2 linked regions of the Coturnix japonica genome follow. The protein of the gene in region 1 purifies or fractionates together with the protein of each later gene. This does not show direct contact. Links are inferred from orthologs where the notes say so. Each region holds a gene or a part of one and is shown in the gene's direction. Other genes may lie near its edges. The genes, in order: SLC30A2 and METTL9.

What was found.
Region 2: the proteins of SLC30A2 (region 1) and METTL9 purify together in Homo sapiens (co-immunoprecipitation; 3 studies listed by BioGRID and IntAct, with this or other methods). This does not show direct contact. The link is inferred for Coturnix japonica from reciprocal best matches to the Homo sapiens genes SLC30A2 and METTL9.

What each region holds. Positions count from the first base shown.
Region 1 is NC_029538.1:2,857,748-2,868,875, forward strand, and holds SLC30A2 (zinc transporter 2), read left to right. Parts: upstream 1-8,320; 5' UTR 8,321-8,598; coding exon 8,599-8,651; intron 8,652-8,866; coding exon 8,867-9,066; intron 9,067-9,220; coding exon 9,221-9,367; intron 9,368-9,441; coding exon 9,442-9,595; intron 9,596-9,668; coding exon 9,669-9,843; intron 9,844-9,965; coding exon 9,966-10,071; intron 10,072-10,150; coding exon 10,151-10,285; intron 10,286-10,366; coding exon 10,367-10,512; 3' UTR 10,513-10,598; downstream 10,599-11,128. Other genes in the region: serine/threonine-protein kinase PDIK1L, read right to left, coding at 1,352-1,636; E3 ubiquitin-protein ligase TRIM63, read left to right, coding at 4,653-4,886, 4,977-5,146, 6,084-6,252, 6,519-6,614, 6,716-6,949, 7,075-7,097, 7,212-7,336, 7,425-7,496 and 1 more.
Region 2 is NC_029529.1:8,376,270-8,387,515, forward strand, and holds the start of METTL9 (methyltransferase-like protein 9), read left to right. Parts: upstream 1-4,541; 5' UTR 4,542-4,795; coding exon 4,796-4,969; intron 4,970-7,531; coding exon 7,532-7,722; intron 7,723-9,955; coding exon 9,956-10,165; intron 10,166-11,181; coding exon 11,182-11,246. Other genes in the region: transmembrane protein 180, read left to right, coding at 1,723-1,852. UniProt on the Homo sapiens protein: Protein-histidine N-methyltransferase that specifically catalyzes 1-methylhistidine (pros-methylhistidine) methylation of target proteins.

The sequences.
Region 1 (11,128 bases):
GCCCTTCCCAGGCCTCCTCACACTACACCAGCTCAGCCTGGTAATGTAATATCACCTGGAGTGGGCAGAAGAGAGAGCAAGCCAAGGGAGATCTGGGTTTCTCTCTTTCAGCATAGGCTATCATAAAGTGATCTCTGCACTCAGCTCTGCCCTTTGCTCTTCTCTGCTCTTTGGAGCAAGAAAACAACCTGCAGCACTTGTGCCCCAAACACGGGCAAGGTCTGCATGCTGCACTGCTGACATAACCCAGCAGTGACCTGGGAGCTCTTCCTCACTCACAGTCCCACCCTGCAGCCTCCCTCACACCCCTCTTTTTTTCCCCCCTATCTTCTCCCTTTGCAGCTCCCTGCAAGTCTGATGCAGTATCTTACAGCTCCACTAACAAAATAAGGTACTACTTTTACCCCACGTGAGCCGATCAGTATTATTTTACCCTAATCCCTTCGTGGCAACGTGCCATTAACAATGACTGTGCTAGGGCAAGTTGACAAAGGCAAGAAGCCTTTCTCAGGCTCGCAGAACACCCAGCACAAGGGGATCAGAACAGCCATGAAGTGCTGGCAAATGAAGTGTTGGCAAATGAGTGCACACTAACAAAAGATTCAGTGTCAGCCATGCAAGAATGACAACAATAAAAACTGAAATGATAGAAGCTGATCGGGGATAATGCAGCACATGTTTATTTAGCAGGCCGCTGATTCTTTAATATCAGAGAGACAAATGTCTGCCAGGGGATGATTTAGAGCTGGGGCAGACTCCTAGCAAGCTCACATGAGCTTTCAGGTCCTTCCAGGGCTACGTATTGCTCTGAAATACTTGCCTTCCAACTTCTAGGCAACTCCATTTTCAACAGCCCCAACAGAAAGGATAGCAGTATCTACTCTTCTATTCCTCTACATACCATACATTTACTTCTCTTTGAAGTTATTTACCAGCTCAATGAGCTCTCTTAATTGCTTACTACATCTGGGAAGAGTTAAACGTTGGCTTACTACATCAAGACAGCCCCTTCCAAAGGCATCTGACATTAAGAAATCCTTCAGGGCTCTGCCTCAAGACATTAGTGCTGCTCATTAACCCTGCAGCAGGACTCTACAGGCCTGCACCTCCCCCTGTGGTGTTTCCCCAACTTAGCAAAGCAAGTCCTGGAGCCTTTAGCGTCGCATGGCTTCAAATTAAAAGATGCAGGTGATTGTTCAATAGATAAGCTCTTTTAAAGACATAAAATAAAGCAAACGATACCCTCTCCTGCCTAAATATACCTCAAAAGCCATCTTAGCTACCCACCTCCTTCCCTCCCAGCTGCACATCCACATAAGCACTTCCACCCCGTTACCTCAGCTTCATGTACCTGTAAATAAAGGGAAGAACTGGAGCCATGTGACATCTTCTGTACCATGCCATCTTTCTGCAAGATGCACTCCTCCAGGTGAATGACGTTGGGGTGCTGGCTCTTGATACTGCTAAGTGCCCAGAACTCACGCAGAGCTAGTTCCACGTTCTCTGGAGCATGGCACCGTATCTTTTTCACTGCCACCCGTGCAGAGGTCTTCCTGACGACTGCTTCGTACACCACACCATAACTGCCACGACCAACCTCCCGTATTAGATCGTACTTAGGCTGGCTACTCACCATCTTCAAGATCAAGGCTTCTGGGGAAGGGGGAAAAACCCACACAACTATAACTTATGAACAAGAACTGAGCTGTGTCTTCCCCCATATGGCCTGGCGTGGCAATGCCAGCTGCACCAACACCCTGCAGCGTGCAAGGAGGTCTCTGAGCATCACATTGAATGCAATGCTGTGCTCCAGTGCTGGAAGACTTCAGAAGTCACTCTTGTAAGCTTGAAGCCATAATAAGGGCTGGCTAATACATCATTTGGGTGGGACTATATGATTTCAAACACAGCTCAGCGTTCAAGAAGGCAACAATTCAAACCTAGAATTGCACTGCGCTGAGGCAGGGCTATCCCATATCCTGCTGTTCCTTTCCCTCAGTGTCTTTTGGGTTTTCCTATGCGAATAACAGGGCTGTTTCATGCTCTCCATCCACACCTGGGATATCAGAGAGTTTCTAGCTGAAACCTGCAGTTGAGGAGTAACAGGTTGAAACAGAGCTGACTTTTAAGATGACCGCATAGGTAAAGCTCGCTGTGATAACTTAACAATGGTTTTCCTTCTTCTGGCACTAAGATGAGATAGGAAGCATCACTGATCTTTTAACATCGCTATGACTTCCCAACTAGCTCCTACTGTCACAAGAAGCAGCAGAAGCACCCAGCTGACTTCGTTACTCCATAGGATATGGGGTGGAGCGATGCTCTATGAGGAAAACAACACACACAGCTCGGAATGGGGGAGGAAGAAGGGCAGCCCCACACCGTGTAGGCCCCGATGACCCCAATGCAATGGCAGCTGTGTCATACAGAACACCAGGGGAGGGCCAGGCCGGCAAGGCCGCAGTGAGAACTGCGTTTAAACGCCTTGATGGGGAAGGGAGGATCTCATCAGAGCTATTAACGAGGAGCTCGCGATTGATTCCAGTGCGGTAGGAACTATTTGTTCGGAAAAGAGAAAGAAACAGAGAGAGAAAGAAAGACAGGCATCATCAGTGCGAGGGCACCAAGCTCCGGCAAACCGAGGCCTCGCAAGGCCCCGATACAACACCCAGACCCCTCGTAGCTCTCCCACAACGCCATTATACCCCTGCCCGCCCCTCTCAACGCTCGGGAGCTCCGTGTTATGCGGTGGGACCCCGCAACACCCACCAAAGCCCCGCGTTACCTCCGCACTAAGGCCGCGCCGCCGCCGCCCGGCCGCCATCATAGGGACCGACCCCCCGAAGGCCACGCCCACTGACGCACCGCATTCTGATTGGCTGCGTGTATGTAGGCATTGGTGCTTATCTATTTCTTCTTTATCTATTTCCTCTTTATCTCTTTTTTATTTATCTCTTTTTTCGTTGCTTGGGGTGGGACAGCAAGCGAGCCTAGCTCCTCTGCTTCACTTTATCTGCGTGTCAGCGGCGCAGCTTTGCAATGACAGCCCCTTACCTATCCCTCTATTCGCCTATTTATTTACCCATCTATTTCTTCACCCATTTATTCACCTGCCCCATCATTGGCAGCGTCTCTGGGCTCCCCCGCTGTCCTCAATGGCAGCAGGGAGCAGATGGAGGTTGTGTTTACAGCGCTCGGGTTGGTTGGTTGGCAGCCGTGCCTGCATTGCTCGGAGCCAACTGGGGGTTGAGGAGGAGCCATTGGGGGCTGGGAAACCGAATGGGGCGTTCCAGCTCATCCTCTTGTGGGAATCCCCTTCATAAAGTCCAGCAGTGATGAGTTCAGTGGGCAGGGCCAGCAATGGGACAGGTGTGCATCCGGTCCCCCCCCCATTCCCTCCCTTACGGTGTGTATCTCAATGTACAAACCTCCTTGGAAGGTCTCCCAGTGCCAAAAAGGGGACAATGTTGCAAGATGTGCTTGGCTGGCTTCTGTGCTGTCACTTGGTTGACATGTGAGAGCCTTCCTGGAAGGAGCGTCTGGAACAGTCACAGGCTGCCCATGTCTGGGGGGTTCATCTGGGACAATATTAGAGCCCCTATAGCGTGCACCCACTGTGCTGTGTCCCTATGCATAAGTGTACTCATACAGCTGTGCACCCACGTATCCATGTGGTCATGCACCCATCTATCTGTGCACCCCTGTACCCTTTGTGCACCCAAGTAACCTCATTTACCCCTGTACTTGCATACTCATGCATCAATGTGCACCCATGCACCTGTGCACTCCTACAGCCCTCTATACAGATACCCCTGCTCCCATGTACCCATGCACTTGTGCCTCTGTGTGCCCATGGCTTTGTGCACCCACCACCCACTTACCGCAGCATCTCAGCACCCATCCCTTTGGCCACTTGCAGCACCTCCTACCCATTGGGCTCTATGGGGAACAGAGAAGCCACCTCACCCAACCCCGTCCTGTGACCCACAGCAGAGGTGTTATAATTATCCTCTCCCCTGCAGCTGCCAATATTTACAGGTCTCCCTGTGCACCGGCGCTGGGATTTGGAAGAACACCGTGTTTACTGGTGTGCCAGCTGACAGCCAGGCAATGTGATCAGGGCGGCTCCCAGCTGGGAGCAGTCTGGAGGGGCCACACTCCTGTTTTCCTGTTGATGTTTCTGGGTCAGGTTTTGCAAACAAGTGCAGGGCACAGCCGGGCATGTGGGATGTGCAGCATGGTGCTGCTGTGCTTGGGAACCCCCTTGCAGGCTGCTATATGGATTTTTGGGGTGCAGAGAAGCATGAGGAAGAGAGGGTGCACGCACCAAGCACATTTGCTGTATCCCCCAGGTGCTGCAGTTCAGCTAAAAAGCCATCAGCTGCCCTGCAGGTGCCTTTCACCCCACAAGAAGTTGCATTTTGAGGGTGCAAAGGGCAATGCAAACCCCCAGCCCGGTGCTTTTTCATCCTGACTCCCCAGCAGCATCGACCCCCCCCCAGTCTCTCGGTGTTCCCCAGCAGGGCCATACGGACAGCATGTCCCCAGCATGTCCCCAGCTTGTTTACTGCGGCCGCGCGCCTCGATTGTCACCGCCATGTGACAGCTGATACCTTCGGACAGCCGAGCCGACTCCACGTGATTGCTGGGCTATGGATAAAAGCTGCACGAGGGGCTCCGGCTCCAGAACTGAGATTGCTCTGAGGAGGAGCAGCAGTGCCGTACCAATGGATTTCCAGCCCAGCATCCTACGTGATGGCAGCCCCATGGAGAGCCTGGAGAAGCAGCTACTGTGCCCCATCTGCCTGGAGATGTTCAGCAAGCCTGTGGTGATCCTGCCCTGCCAGCATAACCTCTGCCGCAAGTGTGCCAACGACATCTTCCAGGTGAGATGAGGACCCCCCTGGACGTTGCCCTGCTCTGGGATGCTCTGCAGGGGCACCTGGGGACACCCCGATGTCCTTGTCCCCCTCCAGGCTGCCAACCCATACTGGCAGAGCCGGGGCAGCAGCATCATCTCAGGGGGCCGGTTCCGCTGCCCTACGTGTCGCCATGAGGTCCTGCTGGACCGCCACGGTGTCTACGGGCTGCAGAGGAACCTGCTGGTGGAGAACATCATCGACATCTACAAGCAGGAGTTCTCCAGGTTGGTCCTATGGGGACACAGGGGCAGCCACATCATTTTTGGGGGGGCGAGGAACCAGGGAGGCTGGCTTGGTGCTCCCCTCCCCACCTTTCCCTAACCCAAATCTCCACCTCACAATTGAGATCTCCATTCTCAACTCGAATCTTCACCCCCAACACAAATCTCCATCTCCCAGCCCAAACCTCCCTCCCAGCCTGTGCTGTTCTAGTCTGCGGTTGCTCTGTGGGGACAGGGGGACCCTAAGGGGGTGGCAGAAGAACGAATCCAGCCCCCATCCTGGCACCCTGCAGCTTTGGCTTTATGTTGAAGATAAGGGGTGTGAGGGACAAATCCAGGCTCTGCTTGTGACAGCAGGGAATGATAAGGGACAGGGGGACAGCCTGAGGGGTCTGACAGCATTACTTAGTGGCAGAGGTGCAGCAGGAGGGGGACAAACAGGGGGGTGATGTTTTTTAAAGGACCCAGACATGTGAGTTCATCTCCCCATTCTCCTGCCCCACTGTAAATATTGTTCCAGCTCCATGGGAACAGGGATGGAAGGCACGTGGCAGGTGGCAGCAGCCCCCGGGGGGGAGCTGGCGAACCCCCCAGTGGTGACTCAATGGCTGTCACCCCCCTGAGCTCCCTGGAGCCCCTGCCCGGGTCACGCGTTGGATGATAATAATAAATGCCAGCAGCACTCAGCTAAAATTAGGAGCTTGTGTAGCATCCCTGGAGCGTGGCCCCAACTGCTGCCATGCCTGATGACACACTGCTACAAACTGGGCTTACTGGGCATGCAGGAGGATAAGGCCAGGATCCGGTTATGGGGCAGTAGTTCTGCATTGGGTGGGGAGGTCACTGCTGTGGGGACGTCACCATGATGGGGACATGACGTCAATATGGTGGGGATGTCATTGTGCTGGGGATGTCATTGTGGTTGGGCTGCTCTCTCCAGCAGGCCGCTCAAGAAGGGGGAGCACCCCATGTGCAAGGATCATGAGGATGAGAGGATCAACATCTACTGCGTCACCTGCGAGGTCCCCACCTGCTCCATGTGCAAGGTCTTCGGTGCTCACAAGGACTGCGAAGTCGCCCCTCTGCAGAGCATCTTCCAGGGCCAGAAGGTGCAACATGGGGGGACATGGGGCCACAGTGGGGAATGGCCAGATCTGGGCGATGTGCTGAGCTAGGGTGGCTGCAAATAGCATTGGGATGCCTCATGGGGTATTAATAGGCAGCAGGCTGACTTTGACCAGGAGACAGGCCTATATTTAGTGCGATGCCCCCCCCTCTCAGCCTGTGGGATGGGGGCTGGATCGTGATACCCTGGCAGCACCCATCTGTGCCCTGCAGGGGTTAAAGCTGCTTCTGTCCATCTGTCCCTTCCCAGAGCGAGCTGAACAACTGCATTTCCATGCTAGTAGCGGGGAACGACCGCATCCAGACCATCATTTCCCAGCTGGAAGATTCCTGCCGCAGCACTGAGGTGAGGGACATGGAAACATCCCCCCAGAAACCAAGTGCTGGGGGAGGCAGCCCCTGAGCAGAGGACACAGGGGCTGGAAGGACACATCTTTGTCCCCATAGGAGAACAGCGAGGCGGCCAAGCAAGAGCTCTGCTCACGTTTTGATGCGTTTATGGCTCTGCTGGAGGAGAAGAAGACGGAGCTACTGGGACGCATCACCCGTGAGCAGGAGGACAAGACAGGCTTTGTGCAGGGCCTCATCCACAAGTACAAGGAGCAGCTGGAGAAGTCCAGCCGGCTGGTGGAGACGGCCATCCAGGCCATGGAGGAGACCGGCGGGGCCGCCTTCCTCATGGTGAGACCCCCAACCCCTAAAGCCCTTGCTTCCTATTGGGAGTCTGTTGTGCCACGTCCTGGTGGCACAGGGACATGCTGGGTGTTGCTACTCTGCCATCCTCACCTTTCCTCTTACTTCCACAGAATGCCAAGCAGCTCATTAAAACGTAAGTGCCCGAACTGGGGAAAGCTGTGGGATCCCCATCCCCTGCCAGATGTGGGTCATATGGCTCTGCTCTATGCTTGGGGCTGTGGGATCAATGCTGTGCTCCCTCCCCCAGCATTGTGGAAGCCTCTAAGGGTGGCAAGCTGGAGAAGATCGAGCAAGGCTATGAGAGCATGGACGCCTTCACAGTCAGTCTTGAGCACCTCGCCGATGCTGTCCGCGCCCTCGACTTTGAGCCAGGTAATTCCACCCCAAAAAACCCTTTGGGATCTGACAATGAAGGTCCTTCAGCAGCTGCCCCTCACTGACATCCGGTGCCTGTTTACAGATGAAGAAGATGAGTTCTATGAAGAGGTGGAAGAAGATACAGGAGACACAGAACCCGAAAGGGTGGTGGCAGGTAGGGCCAGCCCTCTCTGTGCCGGCACCAGCAGCATCACAGCGGAAACCCCACAGACAGAGGGGATGACAGAGGATTGATGAAGTCCCACTCACTGCCCTCTCCCTCTGCAGCCCCCCAGTAGGACACAGGATGTCCAGGACAGAACCTGGGGACACACTGACGGGGCCGGCCATCCAGCTCCAGTACAGGACACTTTTCTATACGGGTGCCAAGAGGACTATTCCGCACGTTTTATATGTTCCTTGTTTTGTATATAATTGTAATGGAGTTGTGTATTTTGTACAGAAAACTGGTGCTCTGGCTTTTGTTTTCTTTTCCTCTCTCACCTCTCGTTTTCTCACCCTGTGATGGGTTTGGGGATGTGGGAGTGTTCTCTGCTATGGGATCAGTGCCCAATTCTCAGCCTAATTAACACCTCTGGTGGCCTTGGCACCTCATGCTGGCTGTGCTCCCGGGATGTGACAGGTCAGCACCCAGCAGGATTTATCCCAGTGCTTACCCGGCCTCGGGGACATGGGGTGACGGTGCTCCAAACTCTGCCAGCCCCAAAAGGGGACAGCATGGAGCTGAGCTCACATGGGTCCAAAATCACAGCACAGTCGGGTTCTTCTGTGCCAACATAAACCCAGCTCAGGGTTGAGGGTAAACTGAGGCAGTGCTGAAAGCAGAGCCCAGAGCTGGAGTCAGCCCCACAGCAATCAGTGCTGCTCCTGGGGGCAGTGGGGTGCAGTCACTGCTATGGGGGTGTCCAACCACAAACTGGGGGGGGGGGGGTTGTTCCCATGGTGGGGAGGGGGTGCACCAATGCAGCTCTGTCCTTAAGGGATGCAGCCACATCCTGCATGCAGGTTAAGATGTGCTTCTGTGTGATACACATGGGGATGCCCAGAGCAGCCCCTCCGTGACCCCGAGAGCCCCCCGGCTGCGGGCTGCGGCACGGCCAGCGTGGGGCGAGGCTCAGCAAGCGATTTGCAGCCGGCTTGGCCCTCCTCCCCCCGGCCTTGCTTTGCACACGGGTCCCGGTGCTTCACACGGCCGCGGTCACAGCTGCCACCAGCTCCGGACCCGCATCGGGGTCAGCAGCGCCGGACCCCGCAGGATGGCAGCGGGCGGAGGGGAGAAGCAGCAGCTGCTGGGCGAGGGAGTGGGCAGGTAAGAGGGTGAATGGGGGGGGGGCTGGAAACCTGCGTGCACCCCTCTCCTCACTGTGCTCCCGGATGGGGTCTGCCAAAGCCATCTGTTTAGGGAGAGGATCTGGGGAAGGGGACACGTCGGAGCAGGGCTAAATGCAAAGAGCGGGCTGCAAATCCCTTCCTCCCTCCCCCATGTCCCCCAACCGGGTGCCCCGATGTCACCTTTCCCTGCAGGTCCTACTTGGGGATGGTACAGAAGCACACAGCCGGCTCAGCGCAGGGCCAGGCGCCCACCCTGGAGCTGAGGGCACGGCACCGCCGGCACTGCCATGCAAGGGGGGCTGATAGCGACCCCCACCAGCAGCAGCGGGCACGCAGGAAGCTCTATGTGGCTGCTGGCATCTGCCTCATCTTCATGGTGGGGGAAGCTGTGGGTGAGTGAACGCTGGGTGAACACATTGCCCTGCATGGCCCCTCTTGTCTCATTCTGTGCTGTGGGTGCAGGCGTGGGGCAGGCAGGGCACCTCGTTTTGCCATGGGATGCCCATATGCTTGGATCTGGATGGGGATCCCCCATCCATACCACAGGTGGGTACCTGGCACACAGCCTGGCCATCCTGACGGACGCTGCCCACCTCCTGACGGACTTTGCCAGCATCATGATCAGCCTCTTTGCCCTCTGGGTGTCCTCACGTCCCGCCACCAAAACCATGAACTTTGGCTGGCACCGGGCAGGTAACCTCAGGATCCAGCTACAGCCCCATTGTGTGCCATCCCTATGGCACAATGACATGGAGGGCTGTCTGCAGAGATCCTGGGGGCCCTGCTCTCTGTGCTGTCCATCTGGGTGGTGACGGGTGTCCTGGTGTACCTGGCGGCCCAACGCCTGCTCTTGGGTGACTACGACATTGAAGGCAGTGTCATGCTCATCACCTCTGCCTGCGCCGTGGCCGTCAATATTGTGTATGTATGATGTGCTGTCAACCCCTGGGCAGGAGATTGGTGGCTGGGGAAGTCACTGCTGCCCTGCCTGCAGGATGGGGGTGGCTCTGCACCAAACAGGCCATGGGCACAGCCATGGAGGGGCTCATGAGCAGCCCCACACCCACGAACAGCCCAATGCCAGCGTCCGTGCTGCCTTCGTCCACGTGGTGGGGGATCTGCTGCAGAGCGTCGGCGTCCTCATTGCATCCTACATCATCTTCTTTAAGGTATGGAGGGGAGGGAGATATGGGGGACATAGTCTTGTCCAGCCATGAGGTGAGATGGGGTTGATTGTTAATGGGGATTTGGCTGCACTTGTTGGGGTTTCACCTGCTTCCACCCCTCCCAGCCTGAGTACAAGTTTGTGGACCCCATCTGCACCTTCCTCTTCTCCGTTCTGGTGCTGGGGACAACGCTGACCATCCTTCGTGACGTCCTCCTCGTCCTCATGGAGGGTAGGGAGCCCCCCAGAGTGGTGATATGTACCCCCCTCCCATAAGTGCCTTATCCCCATCCCACCCCGTGTCCCTCCAGGCACCCCCAGGGGGATGGACTTCAACGCGGTGCGGGACACTCTGCTGGCGGTGGGCGGCGTGGAGGCGGTGCACAGCCTGCACATCTGGGCGCTGACAGCCTCGCAGCCGCTGCTCTCTGTGCACATCGCCATCAGTGAGTGCTGAGGGATGCAGGGCCGGGGAATGGGATATGGGGGTTCCTCCGGCCCCCAACAACCCTCCGGGCTCCTTGTAGATGCGGATGCCGACTCGCAGGAGGTGCTGGAGGAGGCCAGCTCCAGGTTGCAGCGTGCCTTTCGCTTCCACACCACCACCATCCAGATCGAGAGCTACTCCGAGGACATGCGGGACTGCCGTGAATGTCAGCCCCCCAGCGACTGAGTTCCACCCTGTCCCTCTCCCACCAGTTTTTTTTAATAGGAGGAAAATAAACGCGAGCAAACAGCAGCGCCGGGTGCCCGCGGGGGCTGGGTTCGGGATGGGTGATGTTGAGTCTGGAGGCAGCTGGGCTTTATCGGGGAGTGACGGCAGTGAGAGCAGAGCCCGGGCTGCAGGAGGGGGCGGAGGGCAGCGCTTGCTTCTCTTTCCACTATTTTAGCTGTGAAAAGCGTTTGAAACAATGCTTTTCCCCCCCAGCTTTGGGGAGCGTTGGGGGTAGAGAGGGGTGGAGGGGTGCAGGGGGAGGAGCCCTCGATCCCACTGTCCCGTTCTGGGGGGGAGGGAGGACCGGCTCGCTCTGCTCTCACCTCTTATCGCAGCTCTGTTTACCTTTGGGAAGCTCAGCCCTCCCGGCCAGCTGTTAGCAGAGTGGGGATGGTGGCAGGAAAGCATCACAGGGACACAGGCACGGGATGTTGGCCTTGCAATGTGTGGAGCAGGGCTCGGGGACAACACATGGGAGCACAGCAGTGGCTGCTGAGCCCAGAGGTGCTGTGAGAGGTGGCACAGTGCTGTGCCATTGCTGGGTACAGAATGCTCACCCCGTGTCAGACTTCAC
Region 2 (11,246 bases), on another chromosome or scaffold:
GTCAATGGTATAATTCATTACTGTGATGAAATGTGAGCTCTGACGTTTTAACACAACATAAACTGGTATTGTTCCACTGAAACTAAATCAGGATTGCAGTAGTGAAGGTCAGTAATTTGGCAGATGTTCTTTCTCTTTTGTCCCTTGTTTTGTATAAACGTGGAAGAATTTAGTGTTCAAAACTGCAATTCTCTTTAGTGTGTAGAAGAGGCAAAGTACAAACCCCACCATGCTGTTAACTTGTCTGAGTTCTGTCTTCAGCTTCAGAAATTTGTCCAAGGCATCCCTGCTGGTGCTGCTGATACCAGAAACCATCGGCAGTTGTGATGGTAGTGTGCATGATGTGGCCCTTGTTTACTTGTGCTGAAAATGCAGTTGAGTACAGGCCAGGAAACAACTTCCAAGTGGTAAATTGTTGCCTCTGCCAATAAACATTGGCTGTGGACCAGTGATATACTGGTTAACAGTTTGTATTTCTTAAATGTGATTGCCCGAGTGATTAATTCATGTGAGAGCCTGTGGGCTTTTGTTTCCTTATGGAGCATTAGCATGTACGTGATTTGAGATAGACTGTGATCAGTGTGGGTGTGTGTAGCTATGTACTAAGGAATAAATGTAGGTTATGCTGGAGATTGTGAGCATTTTTCTGTTACAGTGAGACATGAGTTCATTCTTTTATGATTGAGATAAACTCTTAAGATTTCATTCAAAACCCTGCTCAGTTTTACAGGACTTTTGTTCACAGATTTCAAGGCTTTTTGCATTGTGTCCATAGCTGTTCTGAGTCTTCAGTCCTCATCCCTGAATGCTAAGGAAAAGAAGTAAATGATAAAAACTGATTTTCTGAAATATAATTTAGGTCCTATTTCTCAGCTTGAGTTGACATTCCTGATATTTAAGTAATTAAAATCCAATAATGAACAGAGTGTCAGTAGATGATTCCAGTTACTCAATGAATGCCAGAATGTGTGCTTTGAGTGTCAGAAACCACACTGGGTATCAGAAGAAGAGTTATGTGTGTCTCATATTCTCCTTTGTGATTCATAGTTGTGGGTGCTTTTATTCCTTAAGAAGATTTAGATCAAGAAATACCATTCATCCAGGAAAACGAATGAGAATCTGTGTATTATGTTGGTGGTTTCCATTATCTTGTAAAAATTTATTTCAAAACAGTGAGATGAAATTAGTCTTCCCATTTCAAGCAGCCAATTTATTGCACCACACCTGCGCTTTGTGCATTAATCATAACTCCCACCTTGCATTCAGCAACTATAGTAACATGCTATGTGGATAGCTAGTAATTCAGATGTGAAATAATTCCATATCAAACTGCTTGCTCCTACTGCTGTTTTTCTCTCTCTTCCAAAACATGCAGCACCACTAAACCTTTTCTGATGCTCTGTTCTATAATTGAATCACATTGCTTTAAATTATTTTCTGTATTAAATAATACAGATGTGTAGTAATGTAGTTATCTCATTTCCTCCCAGCTATTATGAGAGAAGTAAACACTATGAAATATATCTGTATGTAGAATCACAAAATATAACTGAAACGTATTTGATATCTGAGATATTTCCTTTATTTAGTATTGATTGTTCACAGTAATGTGTATGTGAATATTTAAGATGAATGCTTTAAAGTAATTTGTTATGAAACGACCATAGAAAATGATTCTCCTTCATCTTAAAAGCTTTAACATGTTTTCATGTTTTTCACCAGTCTGTTTGTAGGTCTTCATGATGCCATGTTCTATTTGATCTGTCTGGTTCCACTTGGCGTTGCAGTCATACAGATCCTGACGTGGACTCCCTTTTCAATCCAGAATAGTCATATGACGGCTGCACACTGAATATTTGACTGTTGGTAATTAAATGGACCATACCACAAAAGACTTAGCATATATTAAGTGTGAAAAAGCAAGATGGCCTTAAGCAGACTGTTAGACCAAATACAGTTTGAGCCATTTCAGTAGTGTTGCACCCATCTCTGTAATGGAAAATAATTCACATTCAGCCTTAATGATGAGCCTATATAGAGAGGGTTTTGAGTTGAGTTATTTGAAAGTATCGTGCTTTATCCATAATTACTACCAAAGTTGTTTTTGGTGTATACTGGTCACTGTTACCTGCTTTGAAGAATGGATATGGCAGATCAGGTGAGGGAATCCCAGCTCAGCACTTGGAATTTGAGGGATGTTTGTTCTTAGCTTTACTGAATGGTGGTGGATGAATTCGGTCATAGCTGATGAAATGTCAGATCTTTGGGGTTAGGCCATAAGAGCCCAGAGGGACGTCCCTCAGGGATGGCAAAGAGATGAAGAAAAACATATAGCTGGTGTCCAGCTGGCCAGTATCAACTCAAAGCTGCCAGCTGCTACAGGAAGAGACCCTGTACAAAAATCTCTGTAAAACTAAATAAGGAAAATATTTAAATGTTATTCAATTAAGTGTGATGGAAAAGGCGCCATACTTCCTCCTTGGCTTTCACAATGTCTGCATTTGGTGGCAGGTAGATGTAGTTCCTGGCGTTTTGAATGGGCAAATTGTTTTGAGGCAGTGTTGTTAGTTTATACCAAATGTCATTGTGGTAAGAAAAACGTGAGCATATGGATATAGCAGCGTTCAGTACGTCGGGACAAATCTTAGTGCACACATTAAGTCCAACTCTACCTGCTTAGTAGTTTGAGATTGGCAGATTCGTTTGTGCTCACCACTGAATTTAATTGATGAATCATTCATCCAGTTGATGTTAATTTCTGATTTAGCCTCACCAGAATCTTTTCAGGCAAGTTTTTGAATGGATCCTGTGATTTTTCTAGAATAAAGATTTCTTTATACTATTTCAGAAACATTGAATCCTATCTCTGTTTTGCACACACTGTCCTAATTCTCTTGCTATGAGGGCAGGAGAAAGCAAGCATATTTAATCACATCCATAATCAATCTAAAAGAGAAGTGAAAAACTGGCTTCAATTGAGGCGGTGGTCTTACTACAAGAGATAGTGGTAGGAAGCTGACAGTGTTTCATCACTGACATAATTTGTTCTCCTTTTCTCTGTCATTCATTAAACTTTGTTATCCTTTGCTAAACCAACACGATTGCTCTTGGCCACGAATCAAATAATGGATGATCAAATGCAAAAGCTCAGTGTCTTTTAACAGCTGTTTGCCTGCTTTCTCTCCCTATTAGCTCATAGTATCTGAGTTTGGAGTCGTACTGCTGGAAAAGTGCCACAGTTTGTTCTTGATGATTTAACAGCGTTTAAAAATAGCTTCATAGTGATAGTGGGAATGTAAGTATGTATAATATAGAATAGGAAGTGTTTTGATAACATCAGAGAATGGGAAGTGTGATGCTTCATCTCGTTACTTCATAGAGTTTCTTTAGAAGTTCTGCGAATTTTGATCTTAATACGCAACATGACACAATAATACACCGTATTACAGTAATACATTGATAAGGTGTCTATCAAATTGTCATTTAATAGTAAGAAATGTTGCTGTGTGATTAGTTATGACCTGAAGGAAGAGTAAATGACATCAAAGAGTATTGAAGTAGGAAAAAAAGAGATTCATTTCTTGTGTAGCCCACAGCTGGCTCCTCTTGTTCTGTACCAAGAACAATGTCCTGCTGTGACTGGAACTGCTCGGTAATTCCTGAACACATTGGGTCGATAGACTAGTGGGGTGTTTACATTGGAGTGTGGCTGTGTATCTTAGTTGGAGCTGTCGGGAAAGATGAGGAAGGAAAGGACAGAACAGTTCAGATAAGCCACATCTCCACAAGTAATTGTGAGCTCTATCCCGTCAGCTCAGGAAGAAGGTTTTGTAAAGGCACATATGGAGACTCAGCGGTGTCGGTCTGAACGGAGCTGGATGGACCCGCAGAACCAGGAGGCGTTTGTGAACGGAATGTTGCCTCATCGAAAATCCCTTCTCCCCACGGTATCGGTTTTGATCGTCTGATTTTGATTACTCGTTCTGGTAGTCGCCTTGTTGTAACAGTAACAGAAGCCAGAGCTGTTATATTTCAGTTCTATTTCCGTGCTTAGGGCACACTGCAGCTGCACGTGCCGTGTTCCTGGGTCACTCCCTCGCACGCTGTGCACGCACTCACACTGTGCGCAGTTCGCGCTGCACGTGCTGCACGGTGCGGTGCAACGCCGACCATCCCGCGCCTCGCGCTGCAGCAGCTCGGGGCACGCGGCTGGCGGGGCGGGGCGAGCGGCGGGTCGGACACCGCCATTGGGCGCTGTGAGAGCGGTGAGGGCTGTGTGAGCTGAGTGTGAGCTGTGTGTGAGCAATGTGAGCTGTGTGTGAGCAATGTGAGCTGTGTGTGAGCAGTGAGAGAGCTGTGTGTGAGCAGTGTGAGCTGTGTGTGAGCTGTGTGCGCTGTGTGTGAGCTGTGTGTGAGCTGTGTGTGCTGTGTGTGTGCTGTGTGTGAGCTGTGTGTGAGATGTGTGTGAGCAGTGTGAGCAGTGTGTGAGCTGTGAGGGCTGTGTGTGTGAGCAGTGTGTGAGCAGTGAGAGCTGTGTGTGAGCTGTGTGTGATCAGTGTGATCAGCGTGAGCTGTGTGGGCAGCACCGCCCCGCCATCCCGCGATTGGCGACAGGAAGCGCGGAGCGGGCGCGCGCCAGTCCCGGCGTGTCGCATCGAATCGGTCCGGCCGGGTCCCGCCGCCTTGACGCCGCGTTCCGCCCCGAGCTGGACGTGCGGGCCCTGCTGGGGCGCCGCTGCCATGGAGAGGGGAGACGGCGGCTGCTGGAGGGGGTGACTCCGAGCCCCGTCCCCCGATGAGACTGTGGCTGTGCTGGCTGGGCTGCTACACCGTGCTGCTGTGGGAGCTGAGGAGGAGGATGTGGGCTGGTCCCGCCAGGTACCTGCGGAGCCCTTTATCCAGGTCCCTCTACGCGAATATGATGGGCAGCCACGGCCCGACCGCGCCGAGCGCCGGGGAGACCCACCAGGTACGGACAGCGGCCCCCGCTCGCCCTGCCCTGCCCTGCCCTGCCCTGCCCGCCCCCTCCTCGCGTCCGCCGGGCCTGGGGGCAGCGGGGCAGCGCCGCAGGAGGTGGGGGCCGGGAGTCCCGAGGTAGTGGGGCGGGGGGGGCGGCCCGGGGGGGCGGCCCTGTGCCGGCTGAGGGGACCCGGGGCCGGGCAGCGCCCGCCTGGGCGAGACAAAGAGCGGCGGCGAAACGCGTCCGTACGGCGAGAAAGTTGACGTGTGCGCCCCGGGTGAGAGGAGGGAGGGGAAGGACGGCTGAGGGGAGCCGGGCCGGCGAACCGGGGCTGGAGCCGGGCTGGGTGTGAGCCGGGCTGGGGGAGCCGGGCTGGGTTATGCGCTGTGTGAGCCGGGCTGGGTTATGCGCTGTGTGAGCCGGGCTGGGTTATGCGCTGTGTGAGCCGGGCTGGGTTATGCGCTGTGTGAGCCGCCGGGCTGCTCGTCCCGCTGGGAAACGCCGCCTGAGCGAAGTGTTTGCGCCGCGGTGGATGCGCTGGGTTCGCTGTTGGTTCGCGGTGGGTTCGCGGTGTCACGGCGCCGTGTCGGTGCCGGTGCGTCCGGAAGAACACACGTGAGGCTGCGAGCAGCTCGCGACAAAGCGCGCTGAGGCCTTGGAGGGGCGGCGGGAGCCGAAGTGGAGCCGAGTTTGCGGGGCGATAGAACTGCAGGGGAAGGTCAGCGCTGTGTCTGGGCAGCACGGGCACGGCCAGGGGCACTGCGGGGACGTCGGAGCCGTTCGGCGGCTCTGGGGTAGTCAGATTGTCAGTCTGGGCTGTCAGCTGCGATCAGCTCTGAGGGACAGTTCGCTGAAATGCCGCTGAAGGTCTGTCAGGAGTTCGGACGGGAGGTGACTCGTGCAGAGCTGAAGGAAGCTGCTGCTTTATCTAAGGAAGATACGATACAAGTACTTGAGGATTGCTGTACAAAGGAAGAGCACGTACATCGTCGTTCTTCGGGCTGGTCTGTTACTGGAGGGTTTTTGTGCTCTGAGTGGGCAGCGACACCCAGAGCCCTGCGGCCAAGTGAGCCTGGTACTGGGCAGGAGCTCAGCCTGCGTTCGGGTCGTTCAGTGGATGGTAGGATGACAGAAACCGAGGTTACAAAAAGAACCTTCCTTCTTCTGGACAAAGGAAACTTGCAAGTGTTTCCTGTTAAAAACCGTACTAGAAAGACGAGTAGATCAAGAATACGTGCTGTGAAGGCAGCGGTGTCATTCACAGGTCGGTTGTCAGCAGCTCCCACTTACTGGGTTTGGATTTCAGTGCACCTTAAAACTCCTCTTCAGATTTCTTTGATGGGCTGTATATAGTTTTTCTACAGTTGTGCTCTACCAGATTGATGCACTTTCTGTTACGAAACTAGTGGCATGAAAAGGGCTGGTCAGGAATTGGACATGGAGGAATACAAAAGCAAGTTCTGTTTTGAGGGATTATTGCAGAATTAAGCTGTTTTTCACCACTTATTTTGGATGGATTTTTGTCATTTTTTTCCCCTACAGTTTAGTATCACTTCTAATACTCACTAGCATTATTATAGGGTATATGAGCTCAGTTACTGCATGTGGTGTTCATACCTCTTAGGAATCAAAGTGTGTGTTTCCCACAGCTTTGGTACTGGGATGTATTTCCTTCTCCATTGAACATGGCAATGTGAGGAGCCGCTCTGTGCCCGCCTGCTGTGGCTGGGCAGCAGCCTCACAACAACTGCTGGAGCTGACACACATCGCAGCCTGCTCCTCGGCTCTATGGGCCTGTCCACTCCTGCCATCAGCAGATGGATGGGCAAAGTGTGCTGGCTGCTCTGCTTTGAGTGCTTGCTCACTGTCTGCTAAGGATCCTTCTGGGCATCACTGGTCTGTGCAGGTTCATTCAGGTACCACTGTGCTGCAGTGAGAAAGGACCCGAACTGGCAGTTATCGGTCCTGAGGATCCTTGTGCTGGGCTCTGCAATACAGTGCGGGGTTTCATTAAATGTGGGTTTGAGAGGAGAAGATCTCGTGTGCTTGGAAGTATTGCTGAGGGTTTGGTTCTGCCAGCAACTTAGCCACAGTACATGGAGTGTTCAGACTTCAGCTGGAGGATGTTTGCTCCTCTGCTGGAGGCTCTCTCTCTCTAACTGGAGAAAATATTGCAGATGAACTTCCTGTATCTTTTCAGGGACACACAGTGACAAGTTGAGAGCAGAGTCAGAAAGCAGCATAGTCCCCCTTCATGCTGTTCCACCCCTGTGCTGCTGTCCCATAGCATTGTGATAGCTTTCTGGAACTGTTGTTGGACAAAATTCTTTAAAGTACAAAGTAGTGATTAAGATAAAATTGTAAGTGTTATTTATAGTGAGTCATCTGTCCGCACTTGATTACAGCTCGTATCTGAGTTAATTAATCCTGAAGCCTGTTTAAAAGCCTTGAGGGAAAGCTCAATTTTTGTATTTACAGAAACTGATAATAGCTCTCTGTGTTCAATTTCTTTTTAACGGTTCTATTTTTATATTGCTGAACTTTTTAACGATCCTTTGTCTCTTTCTGCAGTGGTATGTCTGCAACACAGAACAGTTGTCTGAATCCCTTCAGCCTGTTTTTGTCCAGAGTTACCTTGACCAAGGAACGCAGATCTTCTTAAACAACAGCATTGAAAAATCAGGCTGGCTGTTTATCCAGCTCTATCACTCTTTTGTGTCCTCAATTTTTAGCCTTTTTATGTCTAGAACATCTATCAATGGGTAAGTGAAAAGTCAATCTTAGGTAAACTACATACGTTTTGGATGTAGGTTTTTCAGGTGTTGAGCCTTGCTTCTTGACATATCAGCTTTTCTTAAGGTTCTGTGCTTTCCCCTTTGGCAAACTACCTTCTGCAAGGCCCTACTGTGCTCTTCCCCTAAACCCAATTAATTAAACAACACCAGTTCCAGTATAAGCAAGGCAGAGGGAATGTTAGCAATTAGTCAGGAGAGAGGCATAGGGCTCTAATTGTATTTTGTAATCATTACTTAATTTCCTCCTGATTATCCTCTCAAATAAGAGAGTATTTTCTTTGTGCTAGATGATGTACTCCTCTCTGTTGTTTTTTTTTCTTCCTCCTTGCCCTTTATCTGCTGCCATTTCTGTAGCGTTTCCCATTGTGATTGTTCTCATTGGAGGTGGCTGTGTCCAGTTAGATCTGCATTGCTCTAAGGCTTATGTGCATAGCTGATGCAAAATGAGGCAGATTTCTGAACGATGCAGAAGTTGCTGAGTGAAGTCTTGTAACACTTAAGTGGAATGGGATTCTGTCCTTCCTCTTATCCATTAAAACTTAATTTCATCATGGTTTTTGTATTAGCTATACCTGAACAGGTAGCTTCTGGTGTGGCACATTTGACTGATGAAACGTCAGTGAGGTGGGAATAGAGGATTTCATAAACCATCGCTCTCCTGGTCACATCACGTTGGTTTCTCCTGTGGTTGGCTGTGGGAGAAGTTGCTGTTCGTGGCTGCTTTCGTGTGTCACCCCAAAAAGTCAGAGTTTCTACTCACTTCTCTTTTGCTCTGACGTGTGTAACAACTTGGCACTTTTGACTCTATCAAGAATGCATTTTGTTGCATTTCCCCATTTCTCCACCATCCCCACATCTGTCCATATTTCCGTACAGTCTGATTTGAGGACAGTAGCTACTAAGGTTTGGAAAATAATCTTTCTCTATTTTCTAACCAGGTGTCTCTGAGCTTCCCTGTGGTGTTTTTAGTGCTTGTAGGCTTACATAAAGGTTCCTTTGGTCTTCTCATATTCCTTTCTCTTTCTTTTTTCCTTTCTTTTTTTTCAAAGGCTCTCCAGTGCTTTGAGTACCTCCTCATAGTGCTGTTATGCTTAATAGCCAGGAGCCAGTTAGACAGTGTAGACTGACATGAGTGTGCTGCAAAGGGGCTCTGCATAAATTGGTTGTATTCTGTTTGTTTTTAAAATATATTTAATATCCTTCTGTAGTTTCTTCTACATACCTGTACAGCCTATCCTTACGTTGGTGGTGTTTGTTTTTAATAGTGTATCTAGAACTCTTATTTTTCAGATTTTTTATTCTTTCATCCTTTTTATCTGTTTACCTTTTTTCCTCTTGATCATAAGATTTCTGCTCATATTCTTTCTAAAATTTAACCTGCTATCCAACATGAGTTTAAACAGTACATATTTTTTACTACCTTTAGTCTGCCGTTGACCCATTCTTTCTTCCTCTGCTTGTTCTCCTAACTCTTTCATCTTCTGAATTCTGCAGTGGCAGCAGAAATCTGTCACTGTGTAGCCTTCAGTCAGTTTTGGGTGTGTGTGCCATTGATGTGATACATAAAGAATCCAAATGTCACCTCTACCCAATACCTTAATGACTTACCTATTTTCTGTTTGACAGCTCTTCGTGTTAAATGCAGGGTCTGCAGATAGCAGCAAAAGCCATTGTATCACACAATTAAGAAGTCTTTTCTTTTGCCACTCCAGCAGTGCTATCCCCATGCTTTCTTTAAATCTTTTCCCTGCCGTCCCTCCTAGTTCCGAATCCTATTCCTTATTCTCTGTGAGTATTTCTGTCTGCAGCCATTCTGCTGTTTCCTTTGCTCTGTCTTCTTTCTCCTTTTTAGGTAGGTGGGAGAGATTCAGATCTGCAAACATGACAAATAGGGCTTAGTCTTTATCTCTCCCCTCCCTGCTTTTTTTGTGTGTGATCATTTTCTTGCTTTGCAGCCCACAAGCTCCTTTCCTGATCAAATCCCTCCTGAAGTCTTAGCCACTAAAACTGCATGTAGCCATGTGTTTGTGTGGTCTCTGACAAGTAGAAGGCAAGTTGAAGTGGATTTGTAAATTTATCTGAGTAGTGACCTTATCTATATTGTGTGACTGATTGCTGCCAAAGCACATTTTAAATTACTTTGTTGTCCTTCCTGTTCAAGCTTGTTTGAAATTGAATGTTTCTCATCTTCACCTTTCAGGCTGCTGGGAAGGGGCTCAATGTTTGTGTTTTCCCCAGAACAATTTCAAAGACTGCTTAAAATAAATCCAGAATGGAAATCCCACAGACTGCTCGATTTAGGAGCAGGAGATGGAGAGGTTACTAAAGTCATGAGTCCTCACTTTGAAGAAATCTATGCCACTGAATTGTCTGAAACTATGATATGGCAGCTTCAGAAGAAAAAATACAGGTATTGTTCTGAATGCGCCCTACATTGTTTATACCAGATATTACAGCAAAACAATCTTTATAATGTTTTATAAATGTCCAGTATTTTCAGCTTATTTTTATGTTGTTTGATCTTTATGGAAAGGATTGAACTGTACAAAAACAATAATGCAAACACATCTGATATTCCTTGTTAGCAGGGCTTTTGATATGCAAATGTTCCCCGTTACCAGTTAAGACAAAATTGGCAACAACTGTTTTGAAGTCTCTTTTTTCGTAGTTTGTGTAAATTTCTTTAAAGAAGGCAATTAGGGAGACAAAATTTGGATGCTGATGAATGAACAGTCCAAAATTGCAAGAGGAGCTGATGGGGCTGCAGAGCAAGCAAATTGAATCTTGGTTATAGACACAGATTATTCAGGTATCTCCACCTAATCACTCAGAAAATTATGATTGTAGACTGCTTTGTAAAGAATCTTTTATTATACTTAGCTCTTGCTATTAAGATTAACAGTACTTTGAACAAAAACTTAATCACTTTCAGAACTTTGTTGTGCTCTAATCACAACAGCTGGAAGTTCTTGTAGGCAGCAGATCTTGTTGAATATTGCTTAGTGTCTGGGGTACTGTATCCCTAGACTTCAACACAAAGAATGAAGGAACTGTTGATTTCTTCTTCCCTGTCCATAAGAGGAAAATTAATAGCAACTGGGTTTGCACACTGGTAAGTCAGGGTGGTTTAAATGCTGCAAACTATTAATCACATTTCAGCTTTGTTGTTACTTTTGAGAAGTATGTTCAGTTTTAATTTAGGACATCAGACTTTAATAATACCCTGGTGTTTATATGGCAGTATGAAGGTGTGGCTGAATGTATAGCCATGCCTATTGTTGAGTAGTTTTCCATAGGACTAGAAGGACAGCGTCTGCCTTTCCTCACTGCCTGGTTGGCTGATCTTTCTGTGCTATCAGCACATCAATTGGGAATTTTTATCCTCAGTGATTCCCTCTGAACTTGGCTCTTTTTCTCTCTCCGTAGGGTGCTTGGTATAAATGAATGGCAGAACACAGGATTTCAGTATGATGTTATCAGCTGTTTGAATT